Oryctolagus cuniculus: one gene and its partner. The main gene of each other region encodes a partner of the protein of the gene in region 2 in a complex. Links are inferred from orthologs where the notes say so. Each region holds a gene or a part of one and is shown on either strand. Other genes may lie near its edges.

Region 1 (7,311 bases), on a different chromosome or scaffold from region 2:
AATCCACCACTGAGATCAGACATACCCGCGTCAGAGGTCAGCAGCTGTGACCATAGCTCCGCCTCTGAAGTTGCTTGACTGTACAGGTTCTACCCAGCCCAGCTGAGTAGTCTGCTCTTGGCAGAAGTAACAAGTTTCATCCTAACCATATATGGAAAGGCAGATTCTAAAGACATGCAATATCACATAGAGCAAGATCATTAGTTACAAGAGGCAAAAAATGGAGCACTGACAGTCTCACACCTTAAAACCATCTTCCCTACATTCTAATACCTGGTACTGGTATGCTATTAGCAAACACGTGCTGGCCAATGTTTTAAAACAAATTATCAGGGCCACTGCCTACAGTGCTGGCATCCAATATGGGTGTTGGTTCTAGTCCTGCCTGCTCCCCTTCCGATCCAGCTCTCTGCTGTGGCCTGGGAAGGCAGTAGAAGATGGCCCAAGTCCTTGGGCCCCTGCACCCGCATGGGAGACCTGGCTCCTGGCTTCACGTCGGCCCAGCTCCAGCCATTGCGGCCAATTGGGGAGTGAACCAGCAGATGGAAGACCTCTCTCTCTCTCTCTCTGCCTCTCCTTCTCTCTCTGTGTAACTTTCAAATAAATATTTTTTAAAAATTATCAGACTGTATAGAAAACCTAATTGCTTGAAATCAGATCACAACTTAAAATATTTAGATATTTATTGTAGTCTTTGATGTATTTTCCAGCATTTTATAACAGTTACCTTTGTTACTCAGGGGAAAAAATAATTCCTACACTGTGACTTCACTGTACAAGGCAAAAATTAAAAATTATGTCCACAATCAAAATCAATGCATACACTTTAAGTTTCACCTTTGTTATATATTCAAGAATAATGAGCAGAAATTCAGCCAATTCAAGGAAAATAAATGACTACCAAACACATCCAAAATACAACAAGACAACCAATAAAGGAGTTACAATAAAAATCTTTATTTAGGTTTGGTCAGTACAGGTAAGATATACTGGAGTCACAGAGCAATATGCATTAACAGGATACAACAGTTCATAAAAACTGAGTAACTATGCACACACGTTTCTTACACATTCAGTCACCTAAAGAGAAAATGCACAGATGTGTGGTGGGAAAACTGCATCTAACACTGAAACTACTACAGGACTCCATCAGCAAGTCCAACTCTCAGTGATAAAACTAGTGTACTGGGCAACGCGGCAGTCCTAGGTCCACATCTACTCTAACACGTCTGCATGGTGCAACAGCAGGAGGAAGGATGCCTTACAGCTTGGGTTCTAGAGACAGATTTACAGACATCATCGCGGTATACTTTAAGGAAAGATTTCCATTTACAACTTCACATTAACTCATATAAAAATAACTTGACCCTACACAAAAATGTCCTTTTAGCAACATTCAAAGTAATTAACTGCTGTAATTCCAAGGTGGCAGAGGTATTGAAGCAAAAAAACAAAACAACACACACCCACAAAAAGGCAAACTGTGACAAAAGTATGCATTACTTTTCTGGACAGTATCCTCTCCCAAATTAAATGACACTGTATAAAAATTTGCTGGAAAAATATTACAAAACTGAACCCTGTACACTTACACTTGAGTCCAAGCCATTCTGGACGTGGCGGGAACCCACAGTTCGGTTACCTTTCCCACTCACTGCTTTCTCCTCTTGAGGGTCATGATTGGAGTCTGTGTCATTTGAGTGGTGTGTGAGAGAGTTTTCACTGCCCGTGGGAGAGTCTACACTTTCGTACCCCGCACTGAGTTGGTTTGCGTAACTACTACCTCCTCTGCCGGGTCTCTCCTCCGAGCTGCTGGAGGCCTTATTAGCACTCCCTGGAGAAGACGCAAAGTCATCTTCAGTCGCGTCCCCCTCCCTGTGAAATGCAGACCCAGACGTCCTCGGCCGGGAGGAGCTGCCGTTGCTTGGTCCGTTGGCCAGCCGACTGCAGTCTTTACTCGCGGCCTCGCCTTGCTCTGCAGGTTCCGAGGACGCAGTCCTGCTGGTACCCGGCGCGGAGGCCTGAGGCTGCTGCTGCTGGTACTGCGCCAGCTGCTGCCGCGTCTCCTTCAGCTGCTGCTGCAGCACGAGGATGGTGCTCTGCATGCCCTCCACCTCCTCGTCCAGCTGGATGATGAAGTCGTTCAGTTCTGTGCAGAGAGAGTCAGACCCACTTCAGTCTCAGAACTCACTGAACAGCATTTCCTAAGCGCTGCCACAGGGCCACTGCCGAGTGCTTATTAACCACTGATACACTTTAAAATCACAATACTATTTTTTAAAAATGTACTAGAATTTAAAAATAGCCATTCAAGAATTAGAATTCATTCAGAGTAGACTGCGTAAAGGAATATACTGTTAATATGTCTCTCTCTACATACACATATCAAAGCAAGTTAAGTTGATTCAAACCATCTCACCATAAAGAACTGTGACAACCCCCAAAATCTGCCCACGATTACCTGCAGGCCCCCAGAGCCAGTTCCTATCTCCTCACTCTCCTAGCCAGGGTCTTCACTCCACGCAGGTAGGGCCCTTAGGACAGTGTGGTTTTCTACCTTAACACTCCAAGTAAGTTTATGCCCTAACTGAACACTGTTCTCTGCTACAGAGGAAAGCAAAAATCTCAGAACATAACTCCTGTTGACTATGAAAATGCACACGTTCCTAAGTTCTAAGAGGCCTTTGGAAAAAACTCCTTCACTGCTATACAATCTATTTACATGTTCACAGATAACAAAGGCTAAGAGCTATCACTTTTCTTCTTTTTAAGATCTATTTATTCATTGGAAGCTAAAGTCACAGAGAGGCAGAGGCAAAGGGAGATCTTTCATCTGCTGGCCCACTCCGAAGCCAGGAGCCAGGAGCCTCCTTTGAGCCCCCTACGCGGGAGCAGGGGCCCAAGGACCCGGCCATTCTCCACCGCCCTCCCAGGCCACAGCAGTGAGCTGGATCAGAAGCAGAGCAGCTGGGACTCAAACAGGTGCCCACACAAGATGCCAGCACTGCAGATGGCAGCCCCACCCACCACACCACAGCACCAGCCCCGGACTATCACTTTCAAAATGCTGTTTTAGGGGCCAGTGTGCTGGCAAAGCTGGGTAAACACCTGCCTGAGATGCTGGCATCCCATATGGGGTCAGGTTCAAAACCCAGCTGCTCCATTTCTGATCCAATTCCTTGCTAATGCTCCCAGGAAAGCAGCAGAGGATAGCCCAAGTGCTTGGGCCCCCACACTCATGTGGGAGATCTGGAGGAGGCTCTGGGCTCTTGGCTTAGGCCTGGCACAACCCCAGCCATTGTGGCCATTTGGGGAGTGAATCAGCGGATGGAAAATCTGCGTTTCTTCCTAACTCTGCCTTTCAAAAACAGAGAAAAGGTATTACCTGGCTACTGATCTCATTAGCCATCAGATGCACTAATTCTCAACTAAAACTTCCAGTGAGTTTGGATTTTGTTCTAATATTAATCTGCACAGAGGAGAAACAGCACAGATGCTGGTATACCTGCATAAAAAGGCAGAGAGACTACAAGCTTGGTTTGACTCCGCAGCAAATTTGAACATAAAATCTTTTAATTTGGAAATTGCCAAATGTCCCCATGATGTTTTAAACCTAAAGAGAAATGGCTGAAGATACTCCTCCTTTCCAAGTGCTGAATATAAATTTAAATTTGTATATTTTAGTAACAACATGCTTTTTATGTCTCACCAATTCCTATTCCCCTCAAAACAAAACTTCTTAGGAAATTTACACAACAATTATGTGAGTGGGGGGAAAATCGCTAAAATCATTAAATGTGGTCTATTTGTTGACTCAGCTAGAAATGTTTCACTCAATTTTATATAAGGGAGAGATTAACATGTACAGAACCTACGTAACAGCCATGCCTGGCGGCTTAATAAAAAGCCAGTGTGAAGTTAAGCAAACTCCAAAAAATACCCTTACCATCCTGACTGCTTTTAAGCTCCTCACTATATTTCTTCTGTAAAGCCAACTCTGCTTCAAGCTGTGCAATACGCCCCTGGGACAGCTGCCTTCCAAGCTCTTGATTCTCCTGGATAAGCATTCGACACTTCGCCATTAACTTTTTGCCTGTTTGGCTGCAAAGGAAAGAGCCATCCATCACAAAATGAAGACAAAACTATGATCTTCTTCGCTTACAATCGCAACAGTGATAGATGTACCAGGTACAGAACAGAACTACGTCACAGCTGATGCCGCCCTGCAGTTACCGTCTTCGCTGCTCGAACACATCCACCTTCTGCATTGCAGCGCTTTGCCAACCAGCAGCAAAAATAAATCCTGAATAAAACATGCCCAGACTTTTTGTTGTTTGTATTACTCAATAATCAATTCTGAAATCTATTCATTTTTCTCACATTATCATCTGAAATAGCAACAGGTCAGGCAACAAACACACACCTTGGATATACCAATATTAATTAACACTAAAGTGTTGTGATTTCTTAAACAAAAAAGTTATTGAAAAGGTACATGAGGTACTAATCACAAGTGTGTACGTCTTTAAAATACGTAATATAAGACAGTACCTAGAAATGAATAAGAATGTATTTTTTGAGAAAAACACAGTATTCTTTGTACATTTATTTCCCATACCTCTTAATTTATCTATTATATTAAGTGAGGCCTCAAGTTTTAAGACTCTTCCCACTCATCAAGCCCTCAATTATTTAACTTCTTTAGGTACTATATGCTTTTGAGCAGTCAAGCAGGACATAGTTTTTTTTTCCCCATTCCATATCAGTATGTGGTTAACATTTTATTGATACTGCAAAACATCATCTTTGTGACACTAAGGCCTGGGCTACTTATCATAAACAAGGCAAACATGAAAATATCCACCAAATTTGGAAGGCTATACTTTCAACAAACTAGTTTCCAAATGCTAGTGCAACAGACTATAGAAACCACACATGTAGCTCCAGCACGAATGTAATGAAAAGCCCAAATGACAGGTTCTTAATACAACTCTACCGTTTGTCTTCAGCCTCAGTAATAGCAGAAATCACATTTTTTACTGGGATCTAGGGGTCAGCGCAGCAGTGCCTTGGGTTAAGCCACCACCTGCAATGCCAGCATTCCCTAAGAGCATTGGTTTCAGCCTATTGCACTTCCCATCCAGCGCCCAGCTAACAGGCTTGGGGAAGCACCAGAAGGTAAACAAGAACTTAGGCCTACGCAGGAGACCCAGACTGCAGTTCTTGGTTCCTGGCTTCATCCTGGCCCAACCCGAACCAACAGATGGAAGATCTTTCTATTTCATTCTCTCTCTGTAACTCTGCCTTTCAAATAAAATAAATCTTTATAAAAAGGGTTCTACTTTGAAGTAGTAATTTTGATATTATGTCTGAGACTGGGATAGGGATACTTTTACATTCCCATCATTAGGATAAGTCCAGAATGACCTTAATACTCAAAATGTTTTATAAATTTTAGTCTGTCTGTATTGTAATGGCATTCAGGTGCCCGATTCAGGACTGCAGAATCCATCTGATCCTATCAAGCCTTAGAACTTTAAAAATTATAGTTCTCTTTCTTTGAAGCAAACTACAAGGTTCTTTTACCTATACTTGTGTGTTCTAACATAATTCAAGGAAAAAGCTTGTAATTAAGTCTCCTTACAAAAATCTGTGAAAAAGTGAACCCCAAGTTAGTGCATGATAGGGTTTTATTCCTTTCTACGGCAACCATTAGCTGCTGTTTTGTTACTGTAGCTCCAGATTCCCCATCAGCATCTTCAGATTGGCCTACAGTGAGTAAGCACTTAGGAGCCAAACAATGGGGGCTGGCATTGTGGCATGGCAAATAAAGCTGCTGCAGGCCGCCTATGACACTGGCATCCTATATGGGTGCCAATTTAAGTCCTGGCTGCTCCACTTCTGATCCAACTCCCTGCTAATGAGTCTGTGAAAGCAGCGCAGGATGGCCCAGGTACCTGCACCCAGGTGGGAGACCTGGAAGAAGCTACTGGTTTTGGCTTGGCCCAGCCCCAGCTACTGAGGCCATCTGCCATCTGGGGAGTGAACAGACACCTCCATCTCTGTTTCTCTCTTCCTCTCCCTCTCTGTCTTTCAAATAAATAAAGTAAATCTTTAAAAAAAAAAAAACCTAACAAGAAGAAGTCAAATAATGAAGAGACAGACACCTTTTGTCAAAAACAGTGGGCTTTGTTCACTGGACTACCTATGCTCCCACAACTTTGTTTTCTTGCAAGGCACACAGCATTAGTTTTTTCCAGCTACAGCAGAAAATACAAACCCTATAGACAACTATAGAACATATAAACTAGTGACCTGATTTAATCCCCTACAAAAATACCAAACACAAATGCAAAAAATCAATACCTTTTAATAAACAAATGCCATTTTAAGAAATCTTATAACTTGCTAAATAGTGATTAAAATAATCTTACTAAAACCACTGTTCTTGGGGGCCGGTGCCGTGGCACAGTAGGTTAATCCTCCGCCTGCGGTGCTGACATCCCATATGGACACTGGTTCTAGTCCCAGCTGCTCCACTTCCAATCCAGCTCCCTGCTATGGGCTGGCAAAGCAGTAGAAAATGAACCAAGTCCTTGGGCCCCTGCACCCATGTGGGAGACCAGGAAGAAGCGCCTGGCTCTTGGCTTCGGATCAGCACAGCACTGGCCGTTTCAGCCATTTGGGAAGTGAACCAACGGAAGGAAGACCTTTCTGTCTCTACCGCTCTCTGTAACTCTAACTCTCAAATAAAATAAATAAAATCTTAAAAAAAAAAAAAAAAAAAAAAAAAAAAAAAAACTAGGCCGGCGCCGCGGCTCAATAGGCTAATCCTCCGCCTAGCGGTGCCGGCACACTGGGTTCTAGTCCCGGTTGCCCCTCTTCCAGGCCAGCTCTCTGCTGTGGTCAGGGAGTGCAGTGGAGGATGGCCCAGGTGCTTGGGCCCTGCACCCCATGGGAGACCAGGAGAAGCACCTGGCTCCTGCCTTTGGATCAGCGTGGTGCGCCGGCCACGGCAGCCATTGGAGGGTGAACCAACGGCAAAGGAAGACCTTTCTCTCTGTCTCTCTCTCTCTCACTGTCCACTCTGCCTGTCAAAAAAAAAAAAAAAAAAAAAAAAAAACCTGTTAAACTGTTCTTTAAACATTCTGCAATTTTACTTTAACTATGTCATGTAAAATATGTGCCCCACACGACACCAAAAAATGATTTAACTGCCACTGTTTTTGACGTAATTTTTAAAAATTAAAAGCAAAAAATCCAAGCTGTTCTCAAAATCGAATGACTCAAAGAACAAACACAGTGGGAAAT
Region 2 (7,311 bases):
TGTTTTAAATTTTGACAAAGAACAATTATCTCAAAATGAAAACTTAATTAAAAGAAACAATTTGTATAGCTCCCCACACCAACCCCTTGAGTTGACAGATCGTATCTGTGTGGGTCTACTTCTGGACCCTTTTCTGTTCCACTCATCTGAATTTCTACTCCTTTACTAACACTGTACTATCTTACATACTATAGTTTTGCAGTAAGTCTTGATACTGAGTAGTACAAATCTTCCAACTTTATTCTTCTTTTGTAAAAATTATTTTGGCTTTGCTAGTTCCTTTAGACCTCACACAAATTTTAGATTCAGCTTGTCTATAGAAAAAAAATCCTCTTTAGTTTTTTACTAAAAATTGTGTTAACTCTGCAGATTTATGTGAGGGAGAAGCATAATTTTAACTATATTGAGTCTCCAACTCCATGAATATGATGTCTCAATCTTCAGTTATTTAGGTCCTTGGTTTTTTTCATCACTGTTTTGAGTATCCAACAACTAGATCTTGCAAGATTCTTTTTCTTGTTTCTTTAATACCTAAGTACTTCATTTGTGGGGAAGCTGGAGTATTGCTTCCTAACATTTTAGTATCCAGATGCTCACCGCTGGTATACAAACATACAACTACTTTTTTTATAGGCTGACCTTGTATTTTGTAACTTTGCTAAACTCTTACTAGATCTAGGAATTTTTTGGCAAATTCCTTAAAACCTTTTATGCAGGCAATCATGTCACCTGAGAAGACACACAGTTTTATTTCTTCCATTCCAATCTATATATATGCAATTCCTTTCTCTTGCCTAATCAAACTGGCTAGAAGTTCCAGTATGAGGCTGAATAGGGGCAGTGAGACTGGACATCCTTTCTTGTTCCCAACTTCAGGGACAAAACATTCAAACTTTCATTATTACCTAAGATGTTAGCTGAGGGTCTTATGTACATGTCCTTTGTAAAGACCTCTTCTAATTCTAGCTTGCTAAGAGTTATTACAAAGGAACGTTGAATTTTCTCAAATGCTTTTTCCATCAATTGATATGATCAATATATTTGTCTTTCTTACTTCTGTTAATATGGTTGATTATAATTCTAGCATACTGAGGCATTCCTTTAATCCTAGGCTAAAAATGTATCACTGAACTTGATTTATTAACATTTTTGAGCATTTTTATGCCTAGTTTCATGAGAGATACCAGTTTAAATCTAGTCAGGTGTTTGCAATTCTGGCCTCATAAAATAAGTTGGGAAATGATTCTGCCACTTTAATTTTCTGGAAGAAATAGCAGAGAATTGGTGTTATTTTTTCTTTAAATGTTTTTTTGGTAGATCTTGGCAGTGCAATCACCTGGGACTACAGTTTTATATTTAAAAAATAGAGATGACTCTTCAGGTTGCTCATTACTTACTCATTAAGTTTTGGTAGTCTGTGGTTTTAGAAGAATTTATCTATTTCTTCTAACTTGCCAGCCAAATTCATGTTTATTAAGTTATTCATATCCCCTTATTTTCTTTTTTATTACTTGTGAGATCTGTAATGATATTCCCACAATTTGTGGTTTTTTTTTTTTTTTTTTTTTGGTTAGTCTGATTAGGGAGTTCTCAATTTTATTTATCTCTTCAAGGAACCAGCAGTTGGTGACACTACTTTTCTCTAATGTTTCCCTATTTTTAATTTCATTGATTTCTGCTCTTTATAATTGCCTTCTTTTAGTTTGCACATTTAAAGCTTTTAAGTGTTCTCTTAATATCCTTCACCTATTTCTTGTGATATGGACTATAGTTTCTATATTTAAAAATCATTCTCCTAAACAGACACAATCTCAATGGGTAGGTTGAATGATTTTCCATTTTTTGTCACTTGCTAAGAGTCTAGGGGGCTGGTGCTGTGGTGCAGATTAATCCTCCATCTATGCACCAGCATCCCATCTGGCACAGATTTGAGCCCTGGCTGCTCCTCTTCCAATCCAGCTCTCGGCTATGGCCTGGGAAACCAGTAGAGGAGGGCCCAAGTGCTTAGGCCCCAGCACCTGCGTGGGAGACCTGGAGGAAGCTCCTGGCTCCTGGCATCCAATCGGTCAAGCTCCAGCAGTGAACCAGTGGATGGAAGACCTTTCTCTTTGTCTCTCTCTCACTGTCTGTAACTACCTCTCAAATAAATAATAAAATAAAAACCTCTTAAAAAAAAATCTACCAGTTAGCCCAATGCATGACCCCTTTTTGGACTTTTCTTTTATAACCATATATAACTTAAATGCTTCTATTTGGTTTTCCTAGGATATTTCATGAGGCTGTCTAGCATCTGAAATTACTCTTCTTTAATTGTATCCTTTTTTTTAATGCGTAGCCTCTAAGAGCATTTCTCAGAGGATTTCCTATGTAGTGTGTGTGTGTCCTCTCTTTATTTATTTATTTATTTATTTATTTATTTATTTATTTTTGACAGAGTTATAGACAGTGAGAGACAGACAGAGAGAAAGGTCTTCCTTCTGTTGGTTCATTCCCCTAAAGGCCGCTACGGCCAGTGCTATACCTATCCGAAGCTAAGAGCTGGGTGCTTTCTCCTGGTCTCTCATGTGGGTGCAGGGCCCAAGCACTTGGGCCATCCTCCACTGCCCTCCCGGGCCACAGCAAAGAGCTGGACTGAAAGAGGAGCAACCAGGACTAGTACCCGGCGCCCCAACCGGGACTAGAACCCGGGGTGCCTGCACCGCAGGCAGAGGATTAACCAAGTGAGCCACAGCGCCAGCCTAATTGTGTCTTTTTCCTCTTTTGTGCTGATGTTTTTAACAGAATAATCAGAAAGCTTATGGTACTTTCTTCAGATGGATTGTTTAAGACATTACAATGTGCTATTAAAACTTACTGAATGTTAATGGTCTATGACTTACACTGGAGGATTATAAGGTTCTGAACAATGGTGCTCAATGAGAAATTTTCAAGGTGCTTTTGTTTGCCACAATTTTAAAGGGGCACCATGGTACAATAGAGGAAGAATCAGGGTATTTTATAATCTATTACTGTTAAAAAGGAGGTTAGAATTTTTATGAGATTAGAAATTATACAGTCCTTTTCAACTGAGATTCCTTATATGAACCAAACAGAAAATGATTTGAATGAATATTTTTCAATTTAATAGTCAGGATGGTGATATCTGGAACGATTCTAGATACATAAAAGAGAAGGTGATTCATTATATACATGTTTAGGATACTGGGAGCTTAGTTCTCTCAGAGAAATGTCTAGGTGAGAAAGGATGTAAGGAGAGATGAGTATGTAGGCAACAGAATAAGGAGAAATACAAATGAAATGAGAGAAGCAAAGGAGGATGACCTTAGCAATTTTGTCATCAGTAATTTTGAGCAAGGTAGATTTGGTGGTTATAAACCTAAGACTTGATATTTTTATAAGTCTCCCATGCCTCATAGCCATTTCCATTTTAATCTTTGGAGATGAATTCTTCTTGTTTGTATAAATTTAATCCTCTGCATCTGAGTAGTTTTCATAAATGAAGTATCAGTTACTTCAGCATTGTTATATATCCAAAGACAATTCTGTTTTCTTAATGGCCTCTAGTAAAAAGCTAGTAGGTTAATGTTTTTCTAACCTTTTAGGATCAGTTTTCTTTTTTCTTTTTTTTTTTTTTTATAATGATTAATTTATTTTTTGAGAGGCAGAGTGACACAGAGAGAAGGACAGAGAGAAAGAGATCTTCCACCTGCTGGTTCATTCTCCAGTTCATGTCCTGGTTGCTCTACTTTCGATTCAGTTCCCTGCTAAAATGCCTGGGAAAAGCAGCAGATGATAGCCTAAGTGTTTGGGCCCCTGCCACGCCAGAAGGAGACCTAGATGAAGCTCCCAACTCCTGGCTTCAGTCTGGCCCAGCGCTGGCTATTGTGGCTATCTGTGGAGTAAACCAGCAGATAGACGATCTCCCTCTCTGTAACTCTGCCTTTAAAAATAAATAAACAAATCCCTCAAAAAACTCCACTATCGCCTGGCGCCGTGGCTCACTAGGCTAATCCTCCGCCTGCGGCGCCGGCACACCGGGTTCTAGTCCTGGTCGGGGCGCTGGATTCTGTCCCAGTTGCCCCTCTTCCAGGCCAGCTCTCTGCTGTGGCCAAGGAGTGCAGTGGAGGATGGCCCAAGTGCGTGGGCCCTGCACCCCATGGGAGACCAGGATAAGTACCTGGCTCCTGCCATCGGATCAGCGTGGTGCGCCGGCCGCGGCAGCCATTGGAGGGTGAACCAACGGCAAAGGAAGACCTTTCTCTCTGTCTCTCTCTCTCAATGTCCACTCTGCCTGTCAAAAAAAAAAAAAAAAAAAAAAAAAAAAAAAAAAAAAAAAAAAAAAAAACACTCCACTACCCTCACAACTCCAGAAAATGTTTCTTTTTATATTCAACTTAAATAAATTTCTAATAACGTTTACTTATCTACAGAAGCTTTTCACAAATTAATTTCATAGAAATAGAATATTTTACACATTTTTAAGTGCATGACTTTTTCTAACAAGTAACTGTTATCTAAAACAATTATTCATTAATATGATTGAAATAAGATAAAAATATCACAAACTTTAACAGAACTCTTTTTTTCACATGTGTATAAGACTAGTAAACCAAACTCATAAAAACAGGTAAGGCTGTGATTCTTTAAAGCAATCAAATGGAAAATATGCCATTCACATTATTCACTTCACATGTTTTCCAAGGAAATCACTGTACCTTCTCATTTTTAACCAGCTGCTTGCGGATGGCAGAGTCTCGCCTGAAGCACAGAGCTTTACAGCACGGTCCGAGATTACTAAGGAGACTTGCTCTTTCTTCTTTTCGTAACAATGCAGCCATGTTGAGAGCCCCCAATTCATGTTCAAAGAGATTATCTGCATCTTTCAACAAACATAAGCACACATTAAGTTTTCCTAAAATAGAAGATGTTACCAATGATTCAAGTGAATACTGCATAAAGTCTACACTTTATCAAAGTTAGCAACAATGGTGAAAATTATTTCATATTAAAGGCAATATTTCCTCTGTGAAGGACCTTCACCATTCAGTTATATTATTAGTCTTAAACAAAATTAAGAATTGTGATAGTCATTTTAAATTTGTTTAAGATATAAGAAAAGTAGACTTGGGAAACAGGATTTAGGCATTGATTATGCACTATGACCAAGAAGTAAAGTTCAGGTTGAGAATCACTGAAGTCAGGGGCAGCGTGGCGTACCAGGTCAAGTCACTGCTTACATCGCCAGCATCAGATAGGTGTGCCAGTTTCAAGTCCTGCCTGCTCCACTTCCAATCTAGCTCCCTGCTAATGCACCTGGGAAAACAGCAGAAGATGGCCCAAGTGCTTGGGCCACTACTACCCATGTGGGAGACTTGAATGTAATTTCAGGCTCTTGGCTTTGACCTGGTCCAGCCTTAGCCATTGTGGCCGTTTGAGGAGTGAGCCAGCAGATGGAAGATCCCACTCATTTACCCCTGCTCCTCTCTCCATCTCTCTCTATAACTGCCTTCCAAATTAAAAAAAATCTTAAAAAAAAAAAACCTATCCAAAAAAATAAAAAGAGCATCAAATACTATTTTATTACATATATAATTACAGAAGAAATTTGCCTTGAACATAAGCTCTTCCATGAAAATTGCACTTTAGGACTAACTTTCTTTTTACGGAATCTTTTTTTCTTCTTCTGGTTTTAAAAGGATACAAAATACACACTTGCAAACCTCCTTAGAGAGTACAACATGGCTGAACTTCAAGTCTCTTCATGGTTTTAAATTGATCAGTACCAAAATTACTCCAAAGACAGACTAAATACATACTCAAGAACAAGTAAAATGAAGGAATAAAAAAACTAGAAAAGTTTAGCTCACTAGGACTTAACTATATTGTAATTAGAAAACCTAGAAAAAAATTTCAGTTTTAGTACACAGTTAAGTGTATTGTTTTAAGCCTTAGTTCTTGTTGTTGTGAATTATCCTTAAGAGGCGAGGTATACTCTCTTCACTGATGGAGGACTGGACTAAACCCAATGGAATAGAAAATTCATTATCAATTATTTCATAAATATTTAGTGAATGCCTACTATGTGTCAGGCACTGTTCTAGGCAAGGGCATAATTAGCAATAATAGATAATTAGACACTAGATACAGCAGTAAACAAAACCAAGCCCCATTCCATATGAAACATATTTAACATCATATTATCAATTCTCTACTTCAACTGATTCACTCCCGAGGACCAAGAACTTAATTCAGGTCTCACATGAGTAGGTGGTACAACCACTTGAGCTGTTAACTGTTGCCTCCCAAGTGCACATTGACATGAAGCTGGGGTCAGGAGCAGAACTGGGACTTGAACCCAGGTGCTCCAATATTGGCTGTGGGTCTCCCAAGTGGTCCCTTAACTGCTATGCAAATGCTCGGCTCAAAAAACTCAATTCTTTTAACGAAATTTTTTTATTGTCAGGGACATGACATAAAATTGTTAAATAATGTTGCTTTCACCTTTACTTTACTTTCCTTAATCTTTTATTTTTTTCCATTCTTATAAAACCTGATTTTTCAACTTTTATTTAATAAATATAAATTTCCGAAGTACAACTTTTGAATTATAACAGCTTTTCCCCCCATAACTTCCCTCCCATCCACAGCCATCCCATCTCTCCGCCCTCTCCTATTCCATTCTTCATCAAGATTCATTTTCAATTATCTTTAAATACAGAAGATCAACTTGGTATATATTAAGTAAGGATTTCATAAAACTGCACCCACACAGATACACAAAGTATAAAGTACTGTTTGAGTACTAGTTTTACCGTTAATTCGCATAGTACAACACATTAAGGACAGACGTCCTACATGGGGAGTAGTTGCACAGTGACTCCTGTTGTTGATTTAACAATTGACATTCTTATTTATGACGTCAGTAATCACCCGAGGCTGTTCCAAAGGTATGGAAGCCTCTTGAGTTCACCAACTCCCACCTTATTTAGACAAGGCCATAGTCAAAGTGGAAGGTCTCTCCTCCCTTCAGAGAAAGGTACCTCCTTCTTTGATGACCCGTTCTTTCCACTGGGATCTCACTCACAGAGATACTGAGATATTTCACTTAAGCCTTTTTTTTTTTTTTTTTTTGCCACAGTGTCTTGGCTTTCCATGCCTGAGGAACTCTCGTGGGCTGTTTAAGCCAGATCCAAATGCCTTAAGGGCTGATTCTGAGGCCAGAGTGCTGTTTAGGACATCTGCCATTCTATGAGTCTGCTGTGTATCCCGCTTCCCATGTTGGATCGATCTCTCCTTTTTAATTCTATCAGT

What was found. Proteins that work in one complex are often made in the same cells at the same time.
Region 1: the proteins of ZC3H13 (region 2) and WTAP are in contact, whole or in part, in a cryo-EM structure (PDB 7VF2), measured with the Homo sapiens proteins. The link is inferred for Oryctolagus cuniculus from reciprocal best matches to the Homo sapiens genes ZC3H13 and WTAP. Residues at the interface, in NP_001317494.1 of Homo sapiens: Arg1512, Pro1514, Gly1515, Ala1516, Ala1517, Leu1518, Lys1520, Phe1521; in NP_001257460.1 of Homo sapiens: Asp202, Glu203, Asp206, Phe207, Gln210.

The regions. Positions count from the first base shown.
Region 1 is NC_091436.1:8,284,831-8,292,141, forward strand, and holds the end of WTAP (pre-mRNA-splicing regulator WTAP), read right to left. Parts: intron 4,102-7,311; coding exon 3,947-4,101; intron 2,150-3,946; coding exon 1,566-2,149; 3' UTR 934-1,565; downstream 1-933. UniProt on the Homo sapiens protein: Associated component of the WMM complex, a complex that mediates N6-methyladenosine (m6A) methylation of RNAs, a modification that plays a role in the efficiency of mRNA splicing and RNA processing.
Region 2 is NC_091440.1:65,026,825-65,034,135, forward strand, and holds part of ZC3H13 (zinc finger CCCH domain-containing protein 13), read right to left. Parts: intron 4,880-7,311; coding exon 4,716-4,879; intron 1-4,715. UniProt on the Homo sapiens protein: Associated component of the WMM complex, a complex that mediates N6-methyladenosine (m6A) methylation of RNAs, a modification that plays a role in the efficiency of mRNA splicing and RNA processing.